5 linked regions of the Ovis aries genome follow. Each later gene encodes a partner of the first gene's protein in a complex. Links are inferred from orthologs where the notes say so. Each region holds a gene or a part of one and is shown in the gene's direction. Other genes may lie near its edges. The genes, in order: GTF2F2, ERCC2, GTF2F1, GTF2E2 and POLR2G.

Region 1 (6,111 bases):
TTAAAAATTATTTATTTATATATTTATTATTTTGGGTTGGGCTGAGTCATTGCTGCATGTGGGCTTTCTCTAGATGCAGTGAGCCAGGGCTACTCTTAGTTGAGGTTCATGGACTTCTCACTGCAGTGGCGTCTCTAGCTGTGGAGCACAGGCTCTAGGCACAAGAGCTTCAGTAATTGCAGCTTGCAGGCTCAGGAGTTGTGGCTCATGGGCTCTAGAGCACAGGCTCCGTAGTTATGGCGTACAAGCTTAGCTGTCCCGCAGCATGTGGAATCTTCCCAGACTAGGGAACGAACCTATGGCCCCTTGCATGGGCAGGCAGATTCGTTTCATATCCACTGCACCACCAGGGAAGTCCAATTTATTCCTTCTATTTGACCAAAGCTTAAAGCAGCTCTCTTTATCCACTTGTCCTTTTTATATTTTTAAGGCCATTTCTTGAGCCTTAAAGAACACACAAGACTGTGATCTTCCTCTTCAACATGTTCCTGATCTCCTGTTTTTCCTGTTAGGTTTCCCCAGCTGATCTCAGAGCCCTGACAGCTTTTCCTAGCCCTAGGCTGAATAGACATGGAATTTCTTCAATTCTGTGTATGGTTCTGATGCAGGATTCAATACGTCACTTGCCATTCTTACAATATCTTACTGTTTGTTTCTTTTCATGCAAATGTTCATTCAGCCAAAGCCTACTGAAATCTGATGTGGTGTCAGCTTTGTGCCAGATGCTTTGATTAAACAACAAGAAAACCCACCATTTCTGCCTAGGAAGAGCGCATAGTCTAGAAAGCAAAGGCAGTATGTAAACGAGTGCATTATAGCTCATCGTGCTAAGTAACGCACACTGTGACGGGAAGAAAAAATTATCTTCCTCTGGGGGAGTTGATAGAAGGTCTCATAGGAAGAGACATTTCCATTAATCTTGAAACCTAAGTAGGTGTCTGCCAATCAGAAGGCAGTACGGGAAGAATAGGGCATCTGAGTAAAGGGAATCCAGTGTGCAGAGGCTCTGAATAATTGAGGAACATTCTGATACGTTCCGGGAGGTCTGACGGGTTAGATGGGCTTAGATGCGTGGTGCATTGAGTACACCACACTTTGATGAGGTCAAACTGTGAGGGCCTATGTGGAGAGGACTGAATTTTATTCTAGAGGCAAGAAGAGAGAGGGGAGACTCTTTAAGCAGGGGAGTTGAACAATCAGAGTTTTCTGTTACATGTCTATTGTCATTGACGTCATGAAACGGCTCCAAACTTGCGGACACAGCCGGGAAAGGAGAGGGCGCGACAGACTGCCAGCGTACCACTGACATGTATACACCACCATGTGTAAAAAGCGATTAATAGCTCGTGGGTAGTTGCTGTAGCGCACAGGGAGCTCAGGTCGGGGTTCTCTGACAACCTAGAGGGGTGGGATAGAGGTGGGGTTGGAGGGGGGCTCAAGACGGAGGGGACTTATGTACACTTACAGCTGATTCATGTTGTCGTAGAGCAGAAACTAACATAACATTGTAAAGCGCTTATACTCCAATTAAAAATAAATTAAAAACAATAGCAAACAAAAAACAAAGGGCTCTGGGTTTTGGAGTCTTAAAGGGGTGCGCCCTACTCGTTTAACTGAAGGTGCTCAGGGTAGCCTTTCAATAAAGACCACTCTGCTAATTCATTTTATTCATTTCTCCTACCTGTCCTCCAAATGCTGTCTTTCTCTCCTTGGCCTGGATTGGACATACACTGACAGCCTTTGTCTCTTTAAACCCCGTTTTTCTGTTTTGACACTTTCTTCTGTTACTCTGACCTGGTCTTTATATGTACTGCTGATGTTTGCGCCCATCCCAACCTCGTTTTCAATTACTCAGACACAGTCCCTGGAAGTAGCCACGCCCACTCAAGAAGGTGCACGCCGATGAAGTTTGTCCTCAGTAGCGCGCCGTACTGACGGCCGCAGTGCGCAGGCGCAGTTCCCCGCTGCCGGCCGTGTGTGTTCTTCTTTCCCAGGGCTCCCGGCATCCCGGAAGTTGGACCGCGGGCTCTTCACAGTCAACCTCCGGCCAGGGTTCGCCGTGTGCTTCGCTCCCTCGTCCCGCAGTCACCCGCTCCCGGGGCCGCTGCTCTAAGTCCGCAGGTCTCCGCCGGCGACAGACCCATGGCCGAGCGCGGAGAACTCGACCTGACTGGCGCCAAACAGAACACCGGAGTGTGGCTGGTCAAGGTAAGGTTTGCGTGGCTCTCGCTTTTAAAGTAGTTTAAGTGACTTGAGGGGAGAAGGAACTGGCAACCCACTCCAGTACTCTTGCCTGGGAAATTCCATGGACGGAGGAGCCTGGTGGGCTACAGTCCATGGGGTCTCAAAGGGTCGGATACGACTGAGCGACTTCACTTTCTTTCTATAGTTCCTTTGGGAGAAGGAAGTGGCAACCCACTGCGGTGTTCTTGCCTGGAGAACCCCATGGACAGAGGGGCCTGGTGGGCTGCAGTCTATGGGGTTATAAAGAGTCGGACACGACTGAGCAACTAACATACACGCGCGCGCACACACACGCACACACACACACGTAACTTGAGACCGTCCCACTTTGTGCACCTTTTAAAACTCATTAGGGCTCTCTCGTTTAGAACTTCGCTTACCTTGAGAGGCAGGGTTGGTTGGTAGGCTTGTTTGCAGACGAGGACATTAGTTCAGGGACACCCAGTGTGTTTTAGCCAACTAAGAGTCTGAACGTGCCTGGAATGGATCTCCTTATCCCACGACCTGGTTTTTCTGGGCTCCTGTCTTGATGGCCCCCCAGTTTGAGCATTTTATCCCAGGCTGAAGAATTTCTTCATCTCCACTTGCTGAAACTGATTTCAGTCATCAATCTCTATAAGAAAGTTGAGCGTTTGCTTTCTGGGTAGTTTTCTGAGCCAGAAAGTAGAACTGTTCTCTGAGTACCCTGGTGGCTCAGATGGTAAAGCATCTGCCTGCAATTCAGGAGACCCAGGTTCGATCCCTGGGTGGGGAAGATCCCCTGGAGAAGGGAATGGCAGCCCACTTCAGTATCCTTGCCTGGAAAATCCCTTTTGAAGGAGCCTGATAAGTTACAGTCCATGGGGTCCCAAAGAGTTGGACAGGACTAAGTGACTTCACTTTCACTCGTAAGGTGTTCTTTTAGGTTGATGGGTCTTATGGAGTTCCCAGGAGAGGTGAGAGTGCTCTGAACTCAGGGAAGGAGAGACTGTGGACTGGAGTGTTCTTTTAGAGTTCGATTGTGTCTCAGGTGAAACTGTCAGTAATTTTTTTTTTTTTTGGTAAAGGCAGCATTTTGATTAACCCTTAGTAAGTACTTACTGAGCTTCCCTTGTGGCTCAGCTGGTAAGGAATCCACTTGCAATGTGGGAGACCTAGGTTCGATCCCTGGGTTGGGAAGATCCCCTGGAGGAGGGAAAGGCTACCCACTCCGGTATTCTGGCCTAGAGAATTCCATGGACTGTATAGTCCATGGGGTCGCAAAGAGTCAGACACTGAGCAACCTTCACTTCTTCACTTAGTGAGTACACTATTTATCCCTTACTTTTTCAAATTGGGGACTGTTGTTTCTTAGGAAGTTTTCATAAGACATGTGTATATTCAAAATGTGATTATGATAGTCTTGAAAACTCAAGTAAAACATAGAGACCTTTATTTGTTAGATTTTTGGAAAGCTTTTATCACACGTCTGAGTGTTTATCAGTTAAATCTGAGAGGCCCTTCTAGTCTTCCTCTCTGATGTAGCTCCCTTATGATTCAGTTCGGTCGCTCAGTTGTGTCTGACTCTGCGACCCCATGAACTGCAGCACACCAGGCTTCTTTGTCCATCACCGATTCCCGGAGCTTACTCAAACTCATGTTCATTGAGTCGGTGATGCCATCCAACCATCTCATCTTCTGTAGTCCCCTGCTCCTGCCCTTATGATTATTCACTAGCATGTTGAGCCTGTATTAACATTCTTCAAAGCACATGCACAGTCATATTTCGCGAGAGTAGGCGTCTTGCCTGTCACCCAGAACTGTGTTTGGTGTAAGGTAAATAGCTCAGATAATGTGATGTATGCATGCATGAATGAATGACTGAATGAACTCTTATTCTTCAACCCTAGCCTTAATCTCTGGTGCTGCTTTGACTTATCACAGTGATATCAGTGTGATTTAAAATGATGGAGTAACCAAGTATCTCTCTCCTCCTGCATGCTAGATGGAGAGAGATCATTAGGGAGGAGATCTCCTTTGCAGATGGAAAGAGCTTGAAAAGGTGGCGAGAGCTTGAGGTGATGTGTTTCTGCTTGGAGCGCAGTAGATGCTCAATAAATGTTTGCCTTACAGAGGTTTGGATGGGGGGCCATAGTATCTCCGTAGCATACCATGGAGAGTGGTTCTGAAATGCAGGAGTGAGAATGCACAGTAATGTGGTGTGGGCTGGAAAACAAAGAGGACATCATGCCTGGAGTAGCGGATTGGGACCGTATACTGACATCATCACGTTGTGAAGTGGGAATGTTTTAACACTGCTGCTGCTGCTGCTAAGTCACTTCAGTCATGTCCGACTCTTCGTGACCCCATAGACGGCAGCCCACCAGGCTCCCCCGTCCCAGGGATTCTCCAGACAAGAACACTGGAGTGGGTTGCCATTTCCTTCTCTAATGCATGAAAGTGAAAAGTGAAAGTGAAGTCGCTCAGTCATGTCCGACTGTTTGAGACCCCATGGACTGCAGCCCACCAGGCTCCCCCGTCCATGGGATTTTTCAGGCAAGAGTACTGGAGTGGGGTGCCATTGCCTTCTCCAGTTTTAACTCTAGTCTACAGGAAATGAGGAGACTCTTGGAGGGTTTTGAGTAAGGCAGGGATACAAATGATTCTTTAAGCGGGGTGGGGCAGGGGGGAAGCTTGAAGAGAAGATAACCAGAGTCAAAATTAGGAAATTATCACAGGATCCTAGACATTTGATAGTGAAGTCTCAGGAGTTAGGGAAACTTTTTCAGCAAAAGTTGTCAGGATGTGGTGACTGACTAAATGAGGATGTAAGAGAAAGTTACAAATCTAAACTAAAGAAATTTTAGTGTTCTCTCTTATATGGCCATTTGAATATATTTTATTGCTTTAAAAAGAGGTCTTACTAATGATAGTTCAAATTAGAATTTTTCTGTTCAAATTAGAATTTGAATAGAACTGCATACAATTTTAAATCTTTTCGGTAGACGTTCATATTTCTTATTATAAATCATGCCTTGAGCTCTGATCTTTGAGGATCATTTGTTGCAAAATATGTGAGTTCCTACAGTGTCGCAAGTTTATGGGCCATTTCTGTTCCTAATTAATTTGTTCATTATTAATTTCCTCACTAGACAAGGGAAAGGAAAATTACAGTAAGAGTTATACATACAAGCTCTCTCAGAGTTTTAGGCAGTGAAAAAGTTACCGGGTGGAATCAGGGAAGACTTCATGGGGAAGCTGGCATTTACGAAGAGCCTATGGAGTTGATTAGTTGGAGGAGGGGAAATAGTTCCAGGCAGGGCTGATGAGTGTGTTCAGGAAAAGGCAAATAGAGTGGAAGATGGTGTACCAGAATGTCCACCACCTGTATCTCTTCTGACCAGTGAAACGCTGTAGGGAGAGAGCAGTGGCCCAGGTGGTGGTGGCCAGGCTCTCTTGCCCCACTCCACTCACATCCTGCAGCTGGGATCATTTGTGGCGCTGCGCACGTGCGTCGTGGTGTGGTCTGTATAAGCACCACCTGAAAAGCTCCTGTAGTCGAGGTGAGTCTAGTTGAGTCGGGCAGTCGTTGCTGCTGCTGTGTCATCCATTAGAAAATAAAGCATGTCCGCGTTGCCGCTGCAGATAAAGGCCATCTGCGGTCCCTGCAGTGCCTCGCATCTTCCTCCAGCCTCCCCGCTCGTGCCTTGCCTAACCTGGTGTCAGCAAACAGTGAGATACAGCAAGACAAAGGCCATTTCTGGAGTTCTGAATACCTTAAATCTGCGAGAGAATGATCTAAATAAGTTTTGATGGATAATAGACGTGACTGAATTTAACTTTACGATATCGCCTGCTCAAAAAAACATGAACAACTGCAGTCTCCCCCTGGTCGGGGAGCTCATCCCT
Region 2 (5,440 bases), on another chromosome or scaffold:
GTGCCCCTCCCCACGGGCATCTACAACCTGGATGACCTGAAGGCCGTGGGACGGCGCCAGGGCTGGTGCCCGTACTTCCTGGCCCGATACTCAGTGAGGAGGCGTTGGGGCTGCGGGCGGGTGGGAGGGTTACAGGCTGCCGGTCGGTGTGCCTGCCTGCCTGCCTAGATCTCCCTATTGGTCTGCCTGTGTCTGTTCCTCAGTCTGTCTCTACCTCTTCACTTCTGTTTGTTCCTCGCCTCTGCCTGCATGTCTGCGTCTGTCTGTCCACCTGCCTGTGTCCCTCCCTTTGCCTCACCTCTCCCGGCCTGGGAGGGAGAGATGTGACCTGGTGGAGTCCACCAGGCGACAGGGCCCTGGGGGTGGGCGCTGGCAGGCGGCCCGGGGTGACCCTGCCCCCTCGGCCCCCAGATCCTGCACGCCAACGTGGTGGTCTACAGCTACCACTACCTGCTGGACCCCAAGATTGCCGACCTGGTGTCCAAGGAGCTGGCCCGCAAGGCCGTGGTTGTCTTTGACGAGGCCCACAACATCGGTGAGCAGAGAGTGGGGCGGGGAGGCGAGGTGGCCCCTCCACTGCTGCTGCGTCCGCTTGCCTGAGCCCGGCCCTCTCCCTGGCCCCCAGACAACGTCTGCATCGACTCCATGAGTGTCAACCTCACCCGCCGCACCCTGGATCGGTGCCAGGCCAACCTGGAGACCCTGCAGAAGACGGTGCTCAGGTGGGGGTGCCCCGGCCCGTAGACCTTGGCACCTGACCTGCCCCCCAAGTGGCCCAGCTCTTCCACACCTCGACTCCCCGCAGGATCAAGGAGACGGACGAGCAGCGACTTCGAGAGGAGTACCGCCGCCTGGTGGAGGGGCTGCGGGAGGCCAGCGCCGCCCGGGAGACTGATGCCCACCTGGCCAACCCCGTGCTGCCCGACGAAGTGCTGAAGGGTGAGCCGTGCCCCCGCCTCGCGCCCCCTTCCCCTGCGCCCCCCCCCGCCCCGCCTCTCCCCACCCGTCCCCTCCCCTGCGCCCCCCGCCCTGCGACCCCCACCCGGCGCCTGGCTGAGCCGGTCTCCCCGCAGAGGCGGTGCCCGGCTCCATCCGCACGGCCGAGCACTTCCTGGGCTTCCTGCGCCGCCTGTTGGAGTACGTCAAGTGGCGCCTGCGGGTGCAGCATGTGGTCCAGGAGAGCCCGCCCGCCTTCCTCAGCGGCCTGGCCCAGCGCGTCTGCATCCAGCGCAAGCCCCTCAGGTGCGGCTGCCGCGGGGGCTGGGCGTGGGAGGGGTCCCGGTGGGGATGTGGGGTGGGCGCCCTTGTCAGTAGCCATGATCAGAGAACTGACCTCGGGAAGTGTGATGGAAGACTGTGTGCAGAGGGAGGGGGGCGGCGGCGAGACCCCAGGGCCCTGGCCAGTGCTCAGGGGTGTTCTCACTCCAGGCCATGGAGGGAGTGGCCCTGGAGAGGGGCTCCTGATGAGGGCCAGCGGGATGGGAGCTGGGAGAAAATGCTGTGGGCCCCTCACTCCCTGTTTCCTCCTGCCAGGGCCTCTCATTGCCCCCCAGCCCCTGGGCAGGAGCCAGCCCCTCAGGTGCAGTCTGGGGGCAGGGCCAGTGATGAGGGGCTCTGGAGTGGGGGTGGAGCTTCCTCTGCTTTTCCTTTGTGCTGTGGATCAGTCTTTGGTCTTCTCTGAACCTCAGTTTTCCTCCTCTGTGCAAGGGGTAGGGGGTCAGCCCCTTTACCCCCAGGTTCCTGTGGTGGTTTAATGACAAAGCAGCGACCCCAGGAACCCACCCCGTCTAGAGCACTGATGACAAGCCGAGTGCTTCGCAGTCCACGGCCCGGGGACACAACACGGAGTTCCCGCCTTGTGCTGCCGATGAGGACGCTGTGTCCCGTGGAGGGGAAGCCTCCCGGCACTGTGTGTGGTTGTGACCAGAAGCCCTGCCGGTGGGGCTCTGAGGCTCCTGGCTGCTCTGCCTCTGAGGAGGTGGGAGCCCTTGGTGCGGCTTCACCCTTCTTCCCTCACGAGAGACTTGTGAGGACAGAGGGGATCTGAGTCACAGGGTCCGTGTTCCGAGGGCCTGCTCTGTGCTGGGGACACAGCAATGATGGAGACGGCCCTGGCCCTGCCCTCCTGGGCTCACAGTCCAGTTGGGGAGACAGACCTTTCCCAGACAGGGTCAGTCCAGGGCTCAGGGTGGGGGGGTGTCCTGGAGGCTGCAGGAACACAGGGGCCGTCTGATCGAGCCTGGGGGATAGGCAGACTGGAAGAAAGGACATACAGGAGACAGGTTTTATTCACTTTATTTCTTATTTTTCTTGGGCACACTGCTCGGCATGTGGGATCTAGTTCCCTGACCAGGGCTTGAACCTGGGCCCCCTGCATTGGGTGTCTTAACCACTGGCCCACCAGGGAAGTCCCAGGAGGCAGGTTTTAAACTTGACTGTCTGCCTGGCGCCAAAGCTGGGTGCTCCCGCTCCACACACGGCCTGTCCCTGCCTCAAGCTGGGTGGCCTTGCTTGTGTGCCGTTGGTAGAGCCTGTGTCAGGCTCAGTGAGGGAGGAGCCGTCACCGAGGCCATCATCTGGGAGCGTGCGGAACTCTAACGCTGTGTCACTGAGGACTGTGGCCGAGACTGACCTTGTGGAGATCCGGGCGGGAGTGTGTGACCCTGTGGCCGTGTGGCGTTCACGTGCTGACCGTGGGATGCTGGGGGTGGTCGTGGGTCGCCCCTTTTGATTGAGAACCTGTGTATGAGAGCGTTACCTCATGTGACAGGACTGTGTGGCTCTGGAGTGTTAGTCGCTCAGTCATGTCTGACTCTGTGCTACCCCCTGGACTGTAGCCCACCAGGCTCCTCTGTCCATGGGATTCTCCAGGCGAGAATACTGGAGTGGATTGCCATGCCCTTCTCCAGGGAGTCTTCCTGACCCAGGAAGGGTCTCCTGCCTTACAGGCAGATTCCTCACAGTCTAAGAATTTGGGCGGTGACTCTGGGTTGTGAGATTATTGCTCTGTGTGCCCTCCTGTGGCTGTGCCCCCCGTGATGGGCAGTGGTACAAGGTGGGGACACAGAGTGACCCAGACCCTGACCTCCCGGAGCTGCCAGGTGGCTGGGGAGACGGCATGTGAGCACGTGCTCTGACGGTGACGAGGGGGCTATCCAGCCTGCAGCCACCACCTCCCTCACCTGCCCGCCCCCCACCCCACCAGGTTCTGCGCCGAGCGCCTCCGCTCCCTCTTGCACACCTTGGAGATCTCGGACCTCACTGACTTCTCCCCACTTACCCTCCTCGCTAACTTCGCCACGCTTGTCAGTACCTACGCGAAGGGTAAGCTCGCCTCTTCCTGCCTCTGCCGGCCCCCAGCAGCTGGAATTGGGATCCGGCAGGGCCTAGAGGGTAGCCCCTGGGAGAGTACCCAGAGGGTAGCCCAGCCTCTGAAGTTTGGACTTTATTTATTTGTTTTAAAATTTATTAGCCACGCCGGTCTTAGTTGTGACGTGCAGGATCTTTAGTTGCGGCATGTGGGATCTAGTTCCCTGACCAGGGATCAAACCCAGGCCCCCGGTGTTGGGAGTGCAGGGTTTTAGCCCCTGGACCACCAGGGAAGTGCTCTGGGCCTTATTTTGAGGGCAGTGGGGAGCCACAAACAGCCCTTGAGTGAGTGAGCCTTGTGCTCAGGAGGGTATTTTTAAAGGCTCTCTCTGGCTGCAGATGGAGGTGGGTGGGGGTGGGCAGTGGCGTGAGGAGAGGAAGGAGAGAATCTGCGGGGTCCGCTCACCCTGGGGGGCATGTGGGGGGGGGTGGTCATTCTCCCAGCGGCACTGGGGAGCCATGGCAGGTTCTGAACAGGGAGAGGTAGGGGCAGATTGCGCTTTAGAGGATTCTTCTGGCAGAGGCTGGGCCAGGACGGGGTGGGGTGCTAGAGAGAGTCGTGGGAGGTCAAGAGGCCGCGACTTGGTGCCTGGTCGTGCGGGGCCTTGGGGGGAGGACGCTCAGATTTCCAGCCTGCTGGGAGGGTACAGGGGAGCATTCTGCCCCCAACTCATCAGCTTTAAGCTGCCAAGGGCTCAGTCTCATCCCCGGGGATTACTCCTCTATCCAGCAAACTAGGTCAGCCTGTCTGACGGCCCGCGGGCGGGCCTGGCCTTGGCAGGAAGATAGCCCGTCCCCACCCCAGCGCCGATGGGCAGCAAGTGTCACTGGAATCTTCTTTCTGCCTCTGTCCCTCTGTCCATCCCATCCTCCTCCTTGGTCTGTCCGTCCTCCTCTCTTCCCCACTTCTCCATCTACCGACACCTCACATTCTTGTACCTGGAACAGCTTTCCCCATCTTCCCAACTGTCTTCCCTGTCACCCCTCAGTTCTTGGCTCAGGAGAGACGTCTCCTCCTCCTCCAGGAAGCCCCTCTGGCTCCGAGGCTGGGCCAGGCCCTCTCCTTTAGGCTCCCCTGTCCCAGCCTTCCCACTCAGAGTGGTCACTCTGGAGACAGCTCTGTGTCCCTATCCTTGGACTGTGAGTCCTGAGAGGGCGAGGCCAGGGTTGTCTCGGTCACTGCTGTGTTCCCAGTCCTGGGCTTGGCACAGAGGACATGATGATATTTTTAAAAACATCTTTGCGAAGTGAAATTGATTATGCGGATGCGTTCATTCATTTATTTGCTCAATAAATGGGCCAGGCCCAGCCCTGGGGAGATGGCAGGAACCATGAACGACCTCATTCCTGACCTCCCAGAACTTAAATTCTAGCAGGGAAGACAGGTAGCAAAGATGTAAATGTGGGTACGGAAGATAATTCCAGAAAGTGATAGTTTTCACGAGACACAAACATGGCACTGTGTTGGACCATGCACACAGTGTCGGCGGTGACCAGGGCAGCTTTCCTGAGGAGCTGACATTTGAGCTGGGTTCTGAATGACCAGGAGCCAGCCGCCTCAGGAAGCTTTTCAGACAGTGGGGCACGTGCAGAGGCCCTGGGGTGGAATGACTCTGGTGGGGTTGTTCTTTTGTGTGTGTGACCTTGGTGGTTTTGAAAGTCAGGCAGGAAGCCCGTGAGCACAGAGGGAAGGGGGTTGGGGTGGCAGGATCCCCCTGACAGTTCTGGACCCTGGGAGGGTCGTGGGGAGCCCTGGGGGCTTCTGAGCAGGGAGGGATGTGGCCTGACTCGAGTTCAAGGATCCTCTGGCCGCTGTGAAGGGAGCGGGGATGAGGAGCGACTGCAGTGGGCCAGGCAGGGGGCGATGGCGGCCGGTCTGGGCGGGGCTGGGGAGGCGCTCAGAGGGCAGCTGGACTTTGGAGGAGAGCTGACCAGCCTCCTGACCGCTCAGTGGAGGAGAGCTGACCAGCCTCCTGACGGCTCAGACAAAAACTGGCGGGAGAAGGCTGGAGGCCTTGGCTGGAGGGGCGTGGTGGGCCCCTGTGGGCCCCGGAGGGCGAGGGGTGAGCCT
Region 3 (5,925 bases), on another chromosome or scaffold:
GTAAATCCCAAGGACAGAGGAGCCTGAAAGGATAAAATCCATGGGGTCTTAAAGACTCTGACACAACTTAATGACAAACAATAAACAAAGTTCACTAAGTGCGTTCACCAGGCACTCTGCCAAGCCCTTTATAGGAACGAAGTCATTCACCCCACACCCCAGCCTTCTGCTGAGGGTCCAGCTCCTCTCCCATTTTACAGTTGAGGACACAGAGGCTCAGTTGACAAAGCAGCAGCCAGTGTCCCCTGCCCTCAAGAGGCCCCTCAGCTCCTACATCCTCCTGGGAAGCCCCTCCCAATGGGCCCCCTCATCCCTCTGCTGCCGTGCCTGGGAGCTCTCACTGTTGGCACCAGGATCCCCTGCAGCATGAAGTCATGGATCTTCTGGCCCCACCAGGTGCCCCGTTGGGCCTCCTGCTGCAGCAGCTGGCCCAGCCCCATGTGGCAGAAGCCATACTTGGTTGCCATGTATTTGCACTGTGTCCCTTTTCCGCAGCCTGGACCGCCCATCACAAAGACGATCAGGGGGACTTGAGGATGTCTGCGTGCCTGAGGAAGAGGGACAGGGGAGAGGGGTTGGTGCCTGTAGGGGTCAGTTGGTGCTGAGGGGATTGTGTCCACAGTTACAATGGGTTACGCTGGACACATGTCTGCTGGAAGATCTATTTCTGCCCTAGGGTGGTATCTGGGGGTGTGTGTCCACACCCAGTGATATATCCAGGCACGGCACCCATTAATACTGCTATAGGTCATGTGGATGAGGTGTGAACCCAAGCAGGTCAGGCCCTTTGTGTGCAGCCTCTCCTCGAAGAATCACCCCTTTTACAGTTGAGGAAACTGAGGCTCTGAGACGGACAGGGACTTGTCCACCCCTCCAGTCTCATCCCATACCACCCTCCCCTTTCTTTACTGTTTCAGCCCAGTGGCCTCCTTTCAGACCCTTGTACTCATCACCTCCCTGTTGCTCCTCCCCGACCCCCACCCCTGCTGGAAGTCCATACTGCAGTCCCTTCAGGTTGCAGCTCACCCTTCAGCTAATCTCTGTCTAAAGAGCCTCCCACCCCATTGTTCCCAGTCTCAAAACCCTAATTCCCCACCACCCCACAAAAAGAATTCCATTTCCTCCAGTAATGGTCACTATCAGTAATGAGTCTGCCCGTTTACTTGTTCTTGTTTGTCTCCCCAGTCAGACTATGTACTACAAGAACACAGAATCTGTTTGTCTTCCTTGTCCCTGTATTTCTAGTACTTGGCATAGTTTCTGACATAATCGTAGCAAGTGAGGAGTAGATAAATGTCCATAACTATCAGAAACATCTATGGAGACCTGTAGTTTATAGTGCTGGCTTCCTACATTCCCCACGGACTTCCCAGAATCCAGCGCAGCAGGTGCTAAAAGTGAAAGTCAGTCAGTCAGTCAGTCAGGCGTGTCCGACTCTTTGTGACCCATGGAATTCTCCAGGCCAGAATACTGGAGTGGGTAGCCTTTCACTTCTCCAGGGGACCTTTCCAACCCAAGGATCAAACCCAGGTCTCCCGCATTGCAGGTGGATTCCTTACCAGCTGAGCCACAAGGGAAGCCCAGCAGGTGCTAACATGGATCACTGAATACCTGACCCTGAGCATGCGAAGTTGTGTTACAATAAGGTAGGGGGCCGGGAGGAAGGGCGTGTGCACACCTGGACTTGAGGAGGGGTTACCTGCATTCTCCCGCCCTCCATAACCTCCTTCCCTTCTCCCGAGTAAACCAGCCACCCCCGCGATGTTTCCCTTCTTCTGGGGCCTCAGGGGCCTGCCTATTTGGGGCAGTTTGGACTTGCACAAACCCAACCCGCCTGAGGCCCGTGGGGTGAGCGCACTCCATCCCCTACACAGGCCCTGACCTCTCCTAGTTCGGTTCAACGTCACAAGGGCCCCTGGCCCGATTATTTGGCGAGATGATAGGGCTACCCCCGGGGGCTGTGGGGAGAAATGAACCCCAAAGAGGCTCAGGTAGAGCCGCAGCAGTCGGCTGCCAAGGAGGCCTCGGTTGCTGTGGTAACGCGACCTCCCCGGACTCACTTCCGCAGTAAAGTAGCGCATGCGCAAATGGCCCGACAGGCCGCGAGGGTGGCGGGTTTCCTCCCTTCCTTCCCAAGATACCCCGCGGTCCTGAGATGTAATGTCACTGGGGGCGTCTTCACGTCACCTGTTTGGGTTATCCGCGTGATGAGGTTATCGGCCTGATGGGATTATCGTGCTATACAAACTGCGGGCCGCCAGAGCGCTAGATACAGAAGGCGCTACCTTCAGTTGGGAGTAGGTTGCTTCCCCTAGGCCTGCGGGAGGATTTCGATTCCGGTTTAGGCGGCTGCGCAGGCGCAGACTTGGCACAGGCGGTCTCAAGCCAATCGCCGACCCAGTGCCGCCTCCGGATAGCTTTCCCCAGGATCGGTTGTATCCCGGGCCGGAGACCGGACACCTCGAGGGCGGCCTCCGAGGGACGCGCACCCGGAGGGAGGCGTAAAGAAAGGTTCTGATCAGACCCGGGTCAATCGCCCATCGCCCATGGCGGCCCTCGTAAGTGTGCGGCCAGGCGGTTCGGCTGCGGTCCCGGTGGCCTCTGTAGCCTCTCACTCACTGTCCTGCTTTCTCTCCCCTCAGGGCCCCAGCAGCCAGAATGTCACTGAGTATGTCGTCCGAGTTCCCAAGTAAGTCCCTGACCCTACCAACCCCCTTTCCCTCCAGAAAAGGATTAAAATCTCGAGGTTCCAGGAGTGTCTGATTCTTCTTCCAGGGCTGGGGTTGAGCCGAGGCCTCTGGGGCATCACTGTTTTTTTAACAGAGTGAATGAATAAGTACATTAATATACAGTAACACGCAGCCTGCCTGCCTAGGATTCCCTCAGCCAGGAATGGCAACAGTGACTCTACTGGGTGGATTCTTTTTGATCCTGCGAAATTCCGTTACAGTATTTTCCTCCTTCAGGAGGCAGTCCCTGCCTGTCCACCCCGCTGCCCAGGGCTGAGTTCCCAATTATCCCATCTTGAGTTCCCAGAAATATTTGTCCTTAACTGATCTCTGGGGTTTTTTTCATGGGTCCCCAGCGTTGCCCAGCACAAAGAACTGAGCCTGGGAGGGTTTGCTGAATTAATGAATGATTAACTGAGCACTGCCTCTTTTTGCCCATACCAGAAATACCACCAAAAAATACAATATCATGGCTTTCAATGCAGCCGATAAAGTCAACCTCACTACTTGGAATCAGGTAAGTCCGAGTTCTGAGGCTGTGAGAAAACCTGACCCTGGATTTGATGTAATAGTTGCTTGGTTGTGATAGTAACTAAGGCTTAGGATCCTCCCCTCTCCCCACGTGCAGATAAATGATAACTAAGGCCCAGGCTGAGCCTCTGGGCACCCCTGAGGACAAGATATGTGTGGCCTTGCAGGAGGCTTTCTTCTGAAATTTGTGCCCACTGATGGGCATTCTGGGTCGAGATCTATCTGGGCAAGAGAGGAGGGGGCTGCCTCCTAGAGGTGACTCAGAGCCCCTATTGTTGGAGACTCCAGAGCGGTCTTTAGAAACTGTTTTAGTTGCAGGCTGCTCTAGCAGAATTCCAGAGACTGGGTGGTTTGTAAACAACAGACATTTATTTCCCACAGTTCTGGAGGCTGGAAGTCCAAGATCAGGGCGCCAGCAGATCTGGTGTCCTGGTTCATAGCTGGTGCCTTTGCACTGTACTCTCACCTGGGTACACAGCACTCTGGAATCCTTTGTTAAAGAGGGCACTTATCTCACTCCTAATAGGCTGCAGCCTCACAACCTAATCATCATCTATCAGAGGCCCCGCCCCCAAATACCATCACACCGGAAATTAGGTTATATGCATTTGGGGAGAATTCCCTGTAGATACAGCGGTTAGGACTCCAGCTAGGACTCTAGCCCATTCACTGCTGGGGGCCTAGGTTCCATCCCTGGTGGGGGAACTAAGATTCCAGAAGTCCGAGATCACAGCCAAAAAGAATGCATTTTGGAGGCATGCAAACATTCATCCATAGCAGAGGCTATTAAAGGGTTACAAACAGTCTGTAAAGAGATTTGTCCACTGTGGGGTCGAGGGCAAGTGAAGGGAGAACAGGGCGGAGGTGAAGGCTCTGGACCAGGTGAGCCTGTGATGGGGTTTGCAGCAAACAGGTTACGAGAAGTTATTGGACTCTGGGGTGTCTTTTTTTCTTTTTTTCTTTTTTAATTTTTCATTTGGAAATAACTTCAAACTTTCAAAAAGCTGCAAAAACAGACATCGCAGCGGGCTTTAGACAGATCCCTTCGCCCACATTCACAGAGCCTCTTTTCGCCAAGCGGGAAGTTGGCTCAGAGGGTCCACCGCTCAGCCTGCGGGGAGGAAGGGGTGTTGTTGGATGGGGAGCAGGCTGCCTGATGAGAAGTCTCGCCTTCCGTCTCCCAGGCCCGGCTGGAACGAGACCTGAGCAACAAGAAGATTTACCAAGAGGAGGAGATGCCGGAGTCGGGCGCCGGCAGCGAGTTCAACCGCAAGCTCCGGGAGGAGGCGCGGAGGAAGAAGTACGGCATTGTCCTCAAGGAGTTCCGGCCGGAGGACCAGCCCTGGCTGCTGCGGGTCAACGGTAAATCAGGCCGAAAGTAAGTGCCCCTTCCCGCCACTCCCCGGTACCCTTGGCCGAACTTCTAGGTCCTGCAGCTGGGGGTGACAGCTCATCCACCCATGAAGGGGTTTTCTTGGGGAAGATGAGCCAAGGGGTTGCTCGAGTGTGTGCTAGGGATGCAGGAATCCCGGCCTGCCGTCCTCCTGCGCCCAGCCAAGGACTGCCCAGAGCTGAGGGTTGAGAACCATGGGGGAGACAGAGATTAAGGGAAATGAAGGGCACTCTGGTTGAACAGCGAGCACGAAGGCGTGAAACATCGAGCCCCAGGGACTGTCACAGCGCACGACAGTGGCAGAGTGGGTGGACTGAGAGGGCTGAGAGTGCCAGGGCACAGCGGGACTGTGGGTAGGCTGGGGCCCAGGGCAGCCTGAAGGCTGTAGGTGGGGAAGGGGCACTCTGTAAGACTGCCTGCACATGGTGGGGCAGAAAAGGGGAAGGATGGAGGCCCGGAGGGAGCTGGGCTGGCAGTGGTTCAAGGAAGATTCCGGAGGGGAATCCAGAGGGGTCTGACACTAGAGCACTGTGCTCTTTAGGGCCCATCTAACAGGTCCTTCCAGAAAGGACCATGTCGTGTATAGTGCACAGGAGCCCTAAGTCTGCTCTGTGAGGGCAGGAAGCCCACCTTTTCCAGATGTGGGAATCCAGGCTCAGGCAGTCAGCGGGCCAGCCTTCCAGCCTCAGGTTTTGCTAGGAGAACCCAGATGGCCCTGGAGAGAGGGATGCAGGGGGTGTTGTCTGGATGTGGCACTAGTCCTTCTTCCCCACACAGACTGTGACCTTGAACTCCCTGCAGGTTCAAGGGCATAAAGAAGGGCGGCGTGACAGAAAACACCTCCTACTACATCTTCACCCAGTGCCCTGATGGGGCTTTCGAGGCCTTCCCTGTCCACAACTGGTATAACTTCACGCCGCTGGCCAAGCACCGCACGCTCACGGCCGAGGAGGCTGAGGAGGAGTGGGAGAGGTGAGTGATGGGGCCACGCCTAGAAAAGGGCTGCAACCCCCCGACATTGTGCCTGGCTGGGAGCTGGGGACTCAGCGGTGAGCAAGCCAGATCTCTCCACTGCTCAGGAGCACCCAGTCCAGGGGGCAGATGGACTGGAGACAGCGGGGAGAGGGACTGGAGAAGTGGGGAGTTGGATCCGGTGCTAGGGTGTCAGCATCACACGAGACCTTCTCCTGAGGGACTCTGGGCAGGCAGGGAACCAAAGGAGGGCCAGCTCTCCCTGTGTGCTCTCAGGGTCTTTCTGCCACGTGCTTGTGT
Region 4 (5,440 bases), on another chromosome or scaffold:
AAGGGGACCTTCCCAGACAGCTGTTGCCAGTTCCCCTGTCCCTGTGGTGAGCCGCTGCTGACTCAGGCCTCCACAGGAGACTCTCCAGCATGAGCAGGTAGGTTTGGTTCAGTTTCTTGTGGAGTCACTGCTCCTTTCCTCTGAATCTTGGTGTACGCAAAGTTTTGTTTGTGTCTTTCAAGACTGGAGTCTGCTTCCCCTAGTCCTGTGAAAGTCTTAGAATCAAATCCTGCTGACTTTCAAGGTCAGATTCCCTGGGGATTCTCAGTCCCTTTGTTGGGTCCCCAGGCTGGGAATCCTGATGTGGGGCTTCAAACCTTCACTACAGTGGGAGAACTTCTTTGCTATTATTGTTCTCCAGTTTGTGGGTCACCCACCTGGTGAGTGTGGGATTTGATTTTATCCTGATTGTGCCCCTCCTACCGTCTCACTGTGGCTTCTTTGCCTTTGGACATGGGGTATCTTTTTTTGGTAGTTTCCAGAATCCTCCTGTTAATGGCTGTTGAACAGCTAGTTTTGATTTTGGTGTTCTTGCAGCAGATGAGCACACGTCCTTCTACTGTGCCATCTTGAGCTGGAAGTCCTCCATTCCCAATTTTGTTCCATGTTCAGTTGTAACTGTTGCTTGTTGACCTGCCTACAGGTTTCTTAGGTAAGGTGGTCTGGTATTCCCATCTCTTTTAGAAATTTCCACAGTTTGTTGTGATTCGCACAGTCAAAAGCTTTAGCATAGTCGATAAGCAGAAGTAGATGTTTTTGGAATTCCCTTGCTTTTTCCATGATCCAACAGATGTTGGCAGTTTGAGCTCTGGTTTCTCTGCATTTTCTAAATCCAGCTTGTACATCTGGGAGTTCTTCGTACATGTACTGTTGAAGCCTAGCATGAAAGATTTTGAGCATTACCTTGCTAGCATGTGAATGAGCACAATTGTGCTGCAGTTTGAACATTCTTTGGCATTGCCTTTCTTCGGGATTAGAATGAAAACTGACCTTTTCCAGTCCTGTGGCCACTGCTGAGTTGTCCAAACTTGCTGACATATTGAGTGTGGCACTTTCACAGCATCATCTTTTAGGATTTGAAATAGCTCAGCTGAAATTAAATCACCTCCACAAATTATATCACCTCCACTAGTTTTGTTTGTCAAAATACTTCCTAAGGTGCGCTTGACTTCACATTCCAGAATGTCTGGCTCTAGGTGAGTAATCACACCATTGTGGTTTTCTGTGTCATTAAGACCTTTTTTATACAGTTCATGATGTACTCTGCACATAACCATTTGCATTTCCACCAGCAAAGAAGGAGAGTCCTGTTCTCCACATCCTCACCAGCATTTGGTCTCAACATATTTTTCTTAATAGTTTGTATTGGACATCTTTGCAGATCAGCACATTGCGAACACCTGTATTTTCTTTTTTAACATCTGTATAGTAGCATTGATATGCTGTAATTTAATCAGTCCTCTGTTGATGGGCCCTTGTTGTTCAGACACTCAGGTGTGCCCAACTCTTTGCGACCCCATGGACTGCAGCACGCCGGGCTTCCCTCTCCTTCACTATCTCCTGAGGTTTGCTCAGACTCAGGTCCATTGATGGCTACTTGAGTTGTTTCTAATATTTTCCTTTTAAAAGGAGGCTGCAGGTAACTTTTCTGCTTTTCTATGTTGTAGTTCTTCTAGGGTGAATGCTCAGAATTGGATTTGCTAGATTAAGGGTTTCAGTGCATTTCTGTTGCCAAATTCCCTTCCAAGGAATCATATCAATTTGCATTGTTTACCATCGGTGTGTTAGAGGGCCTGTTTCCTTATAGCCTTACCAATTGAGTTGTCAAATAAGGATTTTTGCCAGTGTAATAGATGAGAAATATCTTAGTGGAAGTTGAGTATCTTTTCCTCCATTGATGGTCATTAGCGTTTCTTTTTTTGTGATTTGTATGTTCCTGTTTTGGGGTCCTTTTCTTGTTAGCTTTTTGGAACTGTTCAAATGTTAGGAAGGTTAACTTTTTGTGATAAGAATTACAAATATTTTTTCTCATTTTATTGTTTGATTTTATGTAGCTTCAAGTTTGAACTCAGTTCTGATTTTATAGTCCATTCTCTTCTTCACTATAATTGTACTGCTTCAAATAATTACACATTCTACATTCCTGAAAAGATTCATTTACCCTGTTATTTAATACACCTAGCATTTTAAAACCGTCTTCAAATAGCAATTTCTTCCTTCAATAGACACGACATCAGCGAGGAGATACACATCCTCTTACTTTAGAAGAAATTTTGGATGAAACGCAACATTTAGATATTGGACTCAAGCAGAAGCAATGGCTAATGAGTGAGGTAAGAATAGTCTTAAATTATCGTAAAAAATTTTTTTTACTGTAAGTAGGGTTTTCATATGCTGAAATCTGATGTTTTTTCTTGAATTGGTATAGGGTTTTTTTTTTAAACATACACATTTTGAGATTGATTTGTTTTTGTATATTCTGTGTATCTATTTTAAAATGTTGGAGACAGTAGCATTAAAGTTGTAAAGAAGTCAGTCACTACTAATTTTTAAGTTTTTACAGAATAATTGATGCTTATTTTGAATTGCTTAATTTGTAATGTATGTATTTGACAGATTGTATTGTTTCTATGTTTTGGGACATTTAAAGCTTGAAGTATTATAGGGAAAGCAAAATATTTTGTTAAGAAATATATTTGTTGTACTGCTACTGCTATTATGAGTTGACAGTGATGTTACTGCATCTGGCAAGTCACTTGGAAAAATAACCACGAATATTTTGTATATATACACACAACATTGGAAGAAAATGAATCTGAAAACAATCAGTGACTGTGTTGATTTGGAAATGAGTAGCACTTTAAAATAAAAATTGAGATATTTGTCTCTTTTCTGGCTAAGTATGAAATGACAATTCATTAAAGCAACTTTCTAAGACCAGTGCTGATTTTAAATGTAAACTTCTAAAATAGAGTTCAGTTTATTTTACCAAGCAAGATAGTCTTGATTTTCATAATGTAAAATGAACTAGTTAGGCAGTATCATTGTGGCTCATATTAGTAATCCACATTTTTGATGCTTTTCCTAATTGTGAAATTTCATGGATTACTGACATTAGGTAAAGGTTATTTTAATTACTGTTCTGTTCTCATTTCTTCTGTTTTTTTATCCTTTCATGGTCAGGCTGGCAGCTGTAGAAGAAAATAAAATGGTTGCTCTTTCTTGAAGAGCTTTCCTTCTGGTATTAGTTATACAACAGGACTGACTGGGAACATAATTATATTCAGAAATTTCTGTGTTCCTTCTCAGTTTCAGTCTCAACTGACATTTTGGTAATTTCGTATCTGTACTTCTCTGGTCCTTTTGAAGTCCTTCTACAGCTGCTAGTGCCTTTTGATAACATGTAGACAGACTGATTTTTGATATGTTCATCCCAGGGGAATGTTTTTCACGTTATAATTCTGATATGTGATACTTTAAGGGTGGGTAGGCAGTGGCTATTGATGTTAATAGGTGTGTTTTTGATTCTCACCTCTTTTGTCTTCTGAAACAATATGGGTACATTTTCTTCAAAGCAGTTCTAATAAACTGGTTTTTTTCTTATCCAGAGATTCTATGTGAATAATAAAGTTTTTTTTTTTTAATAAAAAGTGAGCACCGTGCTGATCTCTGCCTGTTGTTTTAGCCTATTGATAGATAGCCTGTTTTTTAGATCTGTTGATATCCACAAGATACTTTTAATTTGCCTCTGTATTAGGTATTGTTGTTTTTTTAGTATTAGTAGAATTAAATAATGTATGTATGGTATTTCCTTTTGTTAATATGTTGAAATTGTGTCACTGTTTCAGGCACTAGTCAATAATCCCAAAATTGAAGTAGTAGATGGAAAGTATGCCTTTAAGCCCAAGTACAACTTGAAAGATAAGAAGGCTCTGCTTAGGCTCTTGGATCAGCATGACCAGCGAGGCTTAGGAGGGATTCTTCTAGAAGACATCGAGGAAGGATTGCCCAATTCCCAGAAAGCTGTCAAGGTAACCCCTCTCTTCTTTCTACACCTTAATATAACTTGAATTGATACTGTCTTTTGGCTTTAAAAAACATCGACTTAAAAAAAAATTATTTTAAAACCATCTCCATCATCAGTTGAAGATTTGAAATTTGTGTTTTGTGCTATAGAACAGGACAGAGCATAGTCATTTTTGTGTAACTTTGACATCTTTCTCATGTTGTTGTATATAATTGATTCTTCAAAATGCGTCTGGAAAGATTTCCTCAATGGCATTAGTGTTTTTCTTTTAAGTTGTTAATGTTTGTATTCAAGGATTCCTTCAACAGCACTTGGGCACATTGCCAACCCGAGGGAACCAGAGGCTTTAAAACACAAAAGCACTGACTGATAACTTGGTTTTGCATTCTGAAAGGGGCAGTCAGTAAATGTGATAGAGACTATATTTCTAGTTTGAATTTTCGACTCTCTTGGGAAGGCTGCTAGTCTCTGTTAGTCACAGTTGCTAATGACTGCTGCTAATCTGGAAGATTTAAGTTCTTTTTTTTTTTTTTTTTTGCTACCCATGGAGAAAGCTTGCTTCTTTCTCTCCTCTTCTTGGTAGTTCAGTTACACGTGTTGGGTCTTTTTGGTATTGTCCCACTAGTGCCTTGCGGGGGAGGTGGGGGAGGTGTGTGTGTACGCGCATATGTGTGTGCCTGCTTTTGGATTTTTTTTGTCCTATTGATCTGTTGTTAATTATACTGACTTTTCTTTTTTACCTTCAATTTGTTATTAAGCCGATTTGGTAAATTTTTTTTTACTAGTATAGATGTTTTATCAGTGTTCACAATCAGTAGCCAGACAAAAAGGATAATTACAGTTGCAAGCCATAATGGGAACATGATTAACCTAACAATATGCAGTAATTACATACAATTTGAGGGGTCAAGCAGAGTGGTAAGCGGAAGTGCATAAATGCACATGTTTTCATCCTCTCAGCCAGTCTGTGTGTTTTGCTTGGTGCATTAAATCCATTTACATTTAAGATAATTATTGATATGTATAATTTGTTTTGGCTTCCCTGGTGGCTCAGAGGTTAAAGCTTCTGCCTGCAGTGCTGGTTCGATCCTTGGGTTGGGAAGATCCCCTGGAGAAGGAAATGGCAACCCGCTCCAGTAGTCTTGCCTGGAGAATCCCATGGATGGAGGAGCCTGGTGGGCTACTGTCCATGGGATCACAAAGAGTCAGACACGACTGAGTGACTTCATTTACTTACTTCACTTATGATTTGTTTTGGGTTTGTTTTTTTGTAAGTCTTTTTTCCTTTTCTTGTGTTTCCTGCCTACAGAAGTACCTTTGGCATTTGTTGTAAAGCTGGTTGGGTGGTGCTGAATTCTCTGAACTTTTGTTTGTCTAGAAAGCTTTTGATTGCTCCATCAAATCTGAAGAAGA
Region 5 (6,138 bases), on another chromosome or scaffold:
TTAACTCAGTTCTGACACCATCAGCACAAAGATAACACAGGTTTCCACATGTTAAGATCGCAGCTCTACAAGGCTGCCCTACAAGGCTGCCCTCCCCTTCCAATGGCAATTTTAAGTCAGGCTGTTCACTTTCACTTTTCACTTTCCTGCATTGGAGAAGGAAATGGCAACCCACTCCAACATTCTTGCCTGGAGAATCCCAGGGACGGGGGAGCCTGGTGGGCTGCCGTCTATGGGGTCGCACAGGGTCGGACACGACTGAAGCGACTGAGCAGCAGTCAGCTGTGTTTCTGACTGGGAAAAGGGCGTGGACCTCCCATACTCCATCCGAACTCACCACTCTCCCCAGTTCTCCAGGTCTTCACCAACCCTAGACTCTCTGAACCACATCCACTTGGTTTTATGGAGATTTTCACCGCACTGGCAAGGTTGATTAGTTCATTAGCCGGGTCAGGGAGTTGAGACTGAAAGTTCCAACCCTCCAGTCACTTGGTTGTCTCTCCTGGCTTAGGTGCTTTCCAAAATTCACTTCACTGATAAAAACTCAGGTGTGGCTGAAAGAGGTTTGTTATGAATATCAAGGTATCATTATCATTTAGGCAATTCCAAGGGTTTTAGGAGTTCTGTGACAGAAATGGGGAAGAAGACCAAGTATATATGTGTTGGTGTTTTTATTATAAATATCACAGTTACTTTTGTCTTGTTTCAAATTTTTTATTATGAACAATTTCAAACGCAGAAAAGTAGAAGAAAGTGTAAGAAACCACCATTATCCATCATCTGTCTTCAACGATTATTAATATATTGCTAAACTTGTTTCATCTACGTCTTTGCCTTCTTTAGTATAATTCATTTAATCATAAGTTAAGACAACTAAATTTTTCATAACTGCTGTGTTTAACAACTGGCTTGCAAAGTGCCTGAAATATTAACAGTTGGCTTTTGTAAGGGTCTCCAGCACACCACACCATTGCTCTTGCGGGGAGGCTGGTTTCAAAAGAGGGAAGGAGGGAGTTGAGGCTGTTGAGGCCTGCCCTTTGATCTGCTGTCTGCTTCCTCATGTGGTCTCTGGTGGAGGGGATCCCCATGGAGTCTGAGCAGCTGACCAACAACCTCAATCGTTCTAGGAAATGGGCAGCATCAATGGAAACCGGTGTGTGACAGCTCTAAGGAAATCAGGCTTTCTTGCTTACAATATACTAAAACTTGCTCAGGCAACAGGCGAGTTTGTTCAAGACCCCAGGGACTGTGGAGGCTTTAGAACCAGCCGCCCTTGCTGAGCCTTTGTCATAGGGGCGGGTCTCATGGTGTTTCCGAGACTCAGCAGCCCACAGACTACATGCTCATTCTCGTTGTGCTGAGTTTAATAAAGGGACTATCTGCAAAAGGGGGGGGTAGAGCTGAAGGAACAGGTAAAGTTTGCTCACCAGTTCTACAGGCCCTTGTGTGTAAGGGGGCGGGGGAGGGTGGTTAGAGGAGAGCAGTGACTTGAGGTTCTTTTCACACCGGGAGGGGGCGCTGCCTTCTGGGCTCTGACTAGGCCGGTTTCAACTCCAAACTACAAGAGCCCGGTAATAAATGCCTGAATATGCAAGAGCCTTGGAGTCAGGCATGTTGAATTTGAATCTCGACCCTGGGTGACCTCACCCTTCTGAGCCTGGTATCTTATTTGTAAATGAAAGTAATAACAAAGCCTGCCGGGTAGGGTTGCTGTTTAGATTAATTGAGATAAGGATAGCTTCTTACTATGCTTACTATGTGAAAGCAGTCTTCAACTCTTTGCAGAATGAATAGACTCTGCTAAAGCGCTTTATTTATGCGATCTCTCATTAATTAATTCCTTTTAAAGGTATTTATTAAGCATCTAATCTATGCGAGATACTGTTATGCTTAAGGGAGTTGGGCGCTTTGACGGCTGGACGGAGGGGAGGAGCCTCATGGGTTTCCCCACCCACGACAGCGAAGCCCAATGGGGACCCGTGGAGGCTGTGAGTCCCGCCCACTTTTCGGGGCAGGCCCGGAAACGGGGTTGGAGAGGTTGCTGTATTTCCGGTCGGTGTGGCGGCTCCGCTGCTCGTGAAGCGGTAGACCCGGCTCCTGTTCAGCTTCCTTCGGGAAGATGTTTTACCACGTGAGCAGGGCACGGGGTGGCGGCGAGGGCAGGGTCAAGAGGAGGAGCAAGCGGAAGGCCGGGACTAGGGGCGGCTTCTTGCCTCATACTCCTCCCGCTCCTTGCCCGACTCCATTCCAGTTTCCCCCCAGATTTCCCTGGAGCACGAGATTCTGCTGCACCCGCGATACTTCGGCCCTAACTTGCTCAACACGGTGAAACAAAAGCTCTTCACCGAGGTGGAGGGGACCTGCACCGGCAAGTGAGTGTCGCACCCTCCCTGCCGCCTAAACACTGCGCACACGGCTTTCTATGCTTGCACCCGCTTCCCAGCGCCTACACACCGTGAAAGCTTCTGCTACCTACCCTGGCAAGCCCTCTCACCCTTCCAGGCAGTTAGCTGCTTCCTGCTTTGGGTTCCTACGGTGCCCTCTGTGAAGCTCCATAACAGAACTGCCTTTCCTCAGCCAACATTTGTCATTAACTCTGCAAACATTTCTGAAGCTCCGGCTGTGTGCCAGGACTGGGCCCTGGGAACAATGCAGTGAAAAAGACAAAATGAGGTCAGCCCTTTCTTTATCCCTCATACCCAGGGACCTGGCATGGTACATCTTGGGCCTCACTAAAAGCTTGTTGAATGAATGAATGGGCAGGATAAGGCAGATTGAGAGTTAACCGGAGGAAGGAAGAGGAGTGAGACTTGACCATCTCTGGGCTCTGCACAGAGGCGCTCCGCACATGGTGAAGTAAATGAGGGGGGAGGAGCAGGGCCGCAGAGTACTCAGGTATCCAGCATCAGAGTAAGCTGAGGTGTTCTTTGAACATACAGGTTCCTGAGCCTCATCTCATTTCTACAGCATCAAGACTGGGGACCAGCCCGGGAACAGGCATTTTAATGTTTCTCTCAGGTGATTCTGAGACATCGCCAAGGTTGAGATTAAGGACTGCAGCCCTTTTGGACACTGATTGTGAAATTATGAGAGCAGCGTTTGGCATTATAGCTGCTGCTGATTGTCCTGTCTCCTCTCTTGATCATTAAGCTCTCCTGGGGCCAGGGGGCCGACTACTCCCCCCTCTGTGCTCCCCCTTTACCTCTAGGGTCCGTGACTCTTGCAGCAGATGCTTTTTTGTATTTTTTTCCTGGCTGCGTTGGGTCTTCGTTGTTGCACGAGCTTTCTGTAGTCGCAGCAGAAATGAGAAGTGTGTGGGTTTCTCATTGTGGTAGCTTCTCTTGTTGAGGCACACGGGCTCTAGGGCTTGGGCTTAGTAGTTGCAGCGCACTGGCTTAGCTGTTCTGTGGCGTGTGGAATCTTCGGGGACCAGGGATTGAACTTGCGTCCCCTGAATTGGCAGGGGACTTCTTAACCACTGGGCCACCAGGGAAGCCCTGCTGTGGCAGATGGTTTCAGAGGCTCTTCCACACACAGTGTCTCAGTTTCTCTGCCTCCTTGCAGGTATGGCTTTGTAATTGCCGTCACCACCATCGACAATATCGGTGCTGGTGTGATCCAGCCAGGCCGAGGCTTTGTCCTTTATCCAGTTAAGTACAAGGCCATTGTTTTCCGGCCCTTTAAAGGGGAGGTCGTGGATGCGGTGGTAACTCAGGTCAACAAGGTAAGAGCATCCACAGGGGAGGTAGTGGGAAGGTCCCTCTCTTAGAAGATCTGGGATGGGTCCCACTTTGGTCAAATTCTGTGTCTTTGGTCAGATCACTTCTCTGTGCTTCAGGTTTCCTCACCTGTCAAATAGTATGGTACTGCCTCACTCAGGGGCATGTAAGTCAATAGTGAGTCAGAACAGTAGTAGCCTCCACTGTGGACCAGGTAGTGTGCAAAGCCTCTGACTCTGAAATGAGTGCTTTTATCTCCACGCTGAAGCTTGGAGAAGTTGAGTCTTCTGGCCACGGTCACGTGTCCAACAAGTGTTCAAAACCCAGAAGGACAAGTTCTAGGTCTCAGCTGTTTACTGCTACACTTCCTTAGCTTAGAATGAAAGCTTGGAAAAACAAACACACACATGACAAATTTCAGAGTGGTTTCAGAATATGAAGAACATTGTTAGGAACCAGATAAAGATGGGAGGCTTAGGAGACTGGGGGACAAAAGAAAAAGCAAGGTCTCTCTTTTCCCTTCTAGGTTGGACTCTTCACAGAAATCGGGCCCATGTCCTGCTTCATCTCTCGACACGTAAGTCTAGGCACGCTGGGTGGGTCTAAGAAGGAGACCTGTACTCATGAGAATCTACTGAAGCATCCTTTTCAAGTGCTCTTACCCAGTTTGACCTTCCTTTCAGTCCATCCCATCAGAGATGGAATTTGATCCTAACTCCAACCCACCGTGTTACAAAACGATGGATGAGGTGAGTGGGCAGAAGTTGGTGAGAGGGCCAGGGGAATGAGCCACTCTGAGGGAGGGTATTGGCCTGGGGGTTTCTGAGTGTACTGTTCCCTCCTCCCCAGGACATTGTGATTCAGCAGGACGATGAGATCCGCTTGAAGATCGTGGGGACCCGTGTGGACAAGAATGACATCGTGAGTCTCCTGACTGCCTCCCTGCTCATACCAGGCCGAGCTGTTGCATTCTTGCTACTCAGAGTTCTTGGGGATTTTGTGCTCTTCTGCCCGGAAAAAGAGATGGGTGGGCAGAAGGTCTGGGGCTGAGGGTTAGAGGAGAGCTCTCTGCTTGCTTTGGGTTCATTTCCATTTCTCCTTTCCTCCTGCAGTTTGCTATCGGCTCCCTGATGGATGATTACTTGGGTGAGTTCCAGGGTTGTTGTCTAGAGGAGGGGTGTGTGGGCGCAGGAGGTGAATATGGAATTTAATGCCTGAGCCACTGTTGAAAGAAACTCTCATGTTGTCTGCTTGGAAGACCAAGGACACTTGCCCCCTGGAATGAGAAGTGCATGGTTAGGGCTGTCCCAAGCTCTGGTTCTAACCACTGTGCTTTTTCTGTTTTCGGCAGGGCTTGTGAGCTGAGCACCATGACCTACCTTGTTGGGTCCCTATCTAGGAGGTGTGACTGTCACACTTCCCATGTTGTCCAGAGGCCCAGTCTGGCTGCTGTCGGGGAGGCAAGGAGGGTTCCTTGCCTTCAGAAGACACCTGGCTCTTCTTGTGGCTTAGCAACCACTCCCAGATTTTTGACTGTGCGTTCTAACCATAAAAGGTCCTTGATTTTCATGGAAGTGTCATCTCCTTTCTTTGGCAAGAACAACTCATTTTGTGAAAAGGCTGGAGGGCTGGTGGCTTGCTAGCCCCTCTTTTCTAGGCCTGATGCCTTAACTAGCCTCAGCCACCAGGGGATCTGACTGACCCTCTTGCCAAGGTCTCAAGTTGACCTCACTGAAGGTAAGGCTGTAGCGTTGGGTCGTTGTTGTACAGTCGCTTATCATGTCCGACTCTTTGCAACCCCATGGACTGCTGCTTGCCAGGCTTCCCACTGTCTCCCAGAGTTTGTTGGGTCTTTGATTTTCAGCAAATGGTTGTATCCTTAGAGCGACTCTGGTCTAGGGCCCCGGTCTAGTTTCAGAGAATTTGCCCTCTTCTCAAAGCCTTTAAAATAACCAAGATTGTAGCTGGGAAGGGGGAAGAGGAGACATCAGGGTTGGGGAGGTGAATAGTAGAACAGTAATGATACAGATTGTGGGGTCCCAGTCCTTAGGATGGGCACATAAACAATAGCCTTTGTTTGCTACTCAATTAATATACTAACTGAACATATGAAAGGGCTCATAATCTCATTGGGATAACACAACAAAAATATACAGAAGAAGATTGAACAAACACACCACCCTCCCTCGATGCTGAGTCTTGGCAATACTATTTGCCTAACTTGGAATGTCTTTTCCCAAGCTATCTGCTTGTTTCCTAGTAATCTATCAAATCTATCATTTTTTGTTTTCTTAAGCTTTCCTTGACTTCCTTAAGAAGCAGAGCTGTGTAGTAGAAGACACAGTATTTGGGTTGATACAGAACTGGGTTTTAGTCCTAGCTGGGTGACCTTATGTTTCCTTATTGTAATACGATCATA

What was found.
Region 2: GTF2F2 (region 1) and ERCC2 share a complex: the UniProt entries of both Homo sapiens proteins name them as parts of the TBP-based Pol II pre-initiation complex. The link is inferred for Ovis aries from reciprocal best matches to the Homo sapiens genes GTF2F2 and ERCC2.
Region 3: GTF2F2 (region 1) and GTF2F1 share a complex: the UniProt entries of both Homo sapiens proteins name them as parts of the TBP-based Pol II pre-initiation complex. The link is inferred for Ovis aries from reciprocal best matches to the Homo sapiens genes GTF2F2 and GTF2F1.
Region 4: GTF2F2 (region 1) and GTF2E2 share a complex: the UniProt entries of both Homo sapiens proteins name them as parts of the TBP-based Pol II pre-initiation complex. The link is inferred for Ovis aries from reciprocal best matches to the Homo sapiens genes GTF2F2 and GTF2E2.
Region 5: GTF2F2 (region 1) and POLR2G share a complex: the UniProt entries of both Homo sapiens proteins name them as parts of the TBP-based Pol II pre-initiation complex. The link is inferred for Ovis aries from reciprocal best matches to the Homo sapiens genes GTF2F2 and POLR2G.

What each region holds. Positions count from the first base shown.
Region 1 is NC_056063.1:15,656,464-15,662,574, forward strand, and holds the start of GTF2F2 (general transcription factor IIF subunit 2), read left to right. Parts: upstream 1-2,009; 5' UTR 2,010-2,142; coding exon 2,143-2,208; intron 2,209-6,111. UniProt on the Homo sapiens protein: TFIIF is a general transcription initiation factor that binds to RNA polymerase II and helps to recruit it to the initiation complex in collaboration with TFIIB.
Region 2 is NC_056067.1:52,773,830-52,779,269, reverse strand, and holds part of ERCC2 (general transcription and DNA repair factor IIH helicase subunit XPD), read left to right. Parts: coding exon 1-93; intron 94-411; coding exon 412-535; intron 536-625; coding exon 626-722; intron 723-805; coding exon 806-939; intron 940-1,073; coding exon 1,074-1,242; intron 1,243-3,205; coding exon 3,206-3,324; intron 3,325-5,440. UniProt on the Homo sapiens protein: ATP-dependent 5'-3' DNA helicase. Component of the general transcription and DNA repair factor IIH (TFIIH) core complex, not absolutely essential for minimal transcription in vitro.
Region 3 is NC_056058.1:15,922,987-15,928,911, forward strand, and holds the start of GTF2F1 (general transcription factor IIF subunit 1), read left to right. Parts: upstream 1-2,134; 5' UTR 2,135-2,546; coding exon 2,547-2,558; intron 2,559-2,642; coding exon 2,643-2,689; intron 2,690-3,173; coding exon 3,174-3,246; intron 3,247-4,444; coding exon 4,445-4,638; intron 4,639-5,454; coding exon 5,455-5,625; intron 5,626-5,925. UniProt on the Homo sapiens protein: TFIIF is a general transcription initiation factor that binds to RNA polymerase II and helps to recruit it to the initiation complex in collaboration with TFIIB. It promotes transcription elongation.
Region 4 is NC_056079.1:25,876,187-25,881,626, reverse strand, and holds part of GTF2E2 (transcription initiation factor IIE subunit beta), read left to right. Parts: intron 1-2,225; coding exon 2,226-2,333; intron 2,334-3,848; coding exon 3,849-4,031; intron 4,032-5,440. UniProt on the Homo sapiens protein: Recruits TFIIH to the initiation complex and stimulates the RNA polymerase II C-terminal domain kinase and DNA-dependent ATPase activities of TFIIH. Both TFIIH and TFIIE are required for promoter clearance by RNA polymerase.
Region 5 is NC_056074.1:37,615,057-37,621,194, forward strand, and holds POLR2G (DNA-directed RNA polymerase II subunit RPB7), read left to right. Parts: upstream 1-2,040; 5' UTR 2,041-2,119; coding exon 2,120-2,131; intron 2,132-2,262; coding exon 2,263-2,372; intron 2,373-3,564; coding exon 3,565-3,724; intron 3,725-4,245; coding exon 4,246-4,296; intron 4,297-4,402; coding exon 4,403-4,468; intron 4,469-4,568; coding exon 4,569-4,769; 3' UTR 4,770-4,831; coding exon of another isoform or gene 4,832-4,930; 3' UTR 4,931-5,070; coding exon of another isoform or gene 5,071-5,084; 3' UTR 5,085-5,288; downstream 5,289-6,138. UniProt on the Homo sapiens protein: Core component of RNA polymerase II (Pol II), a DNA-dependent RNA polymerase which synthesizes mRNA precursors and many functional non-coding RNAs using the four ribonucleoside triphosphates as substrates.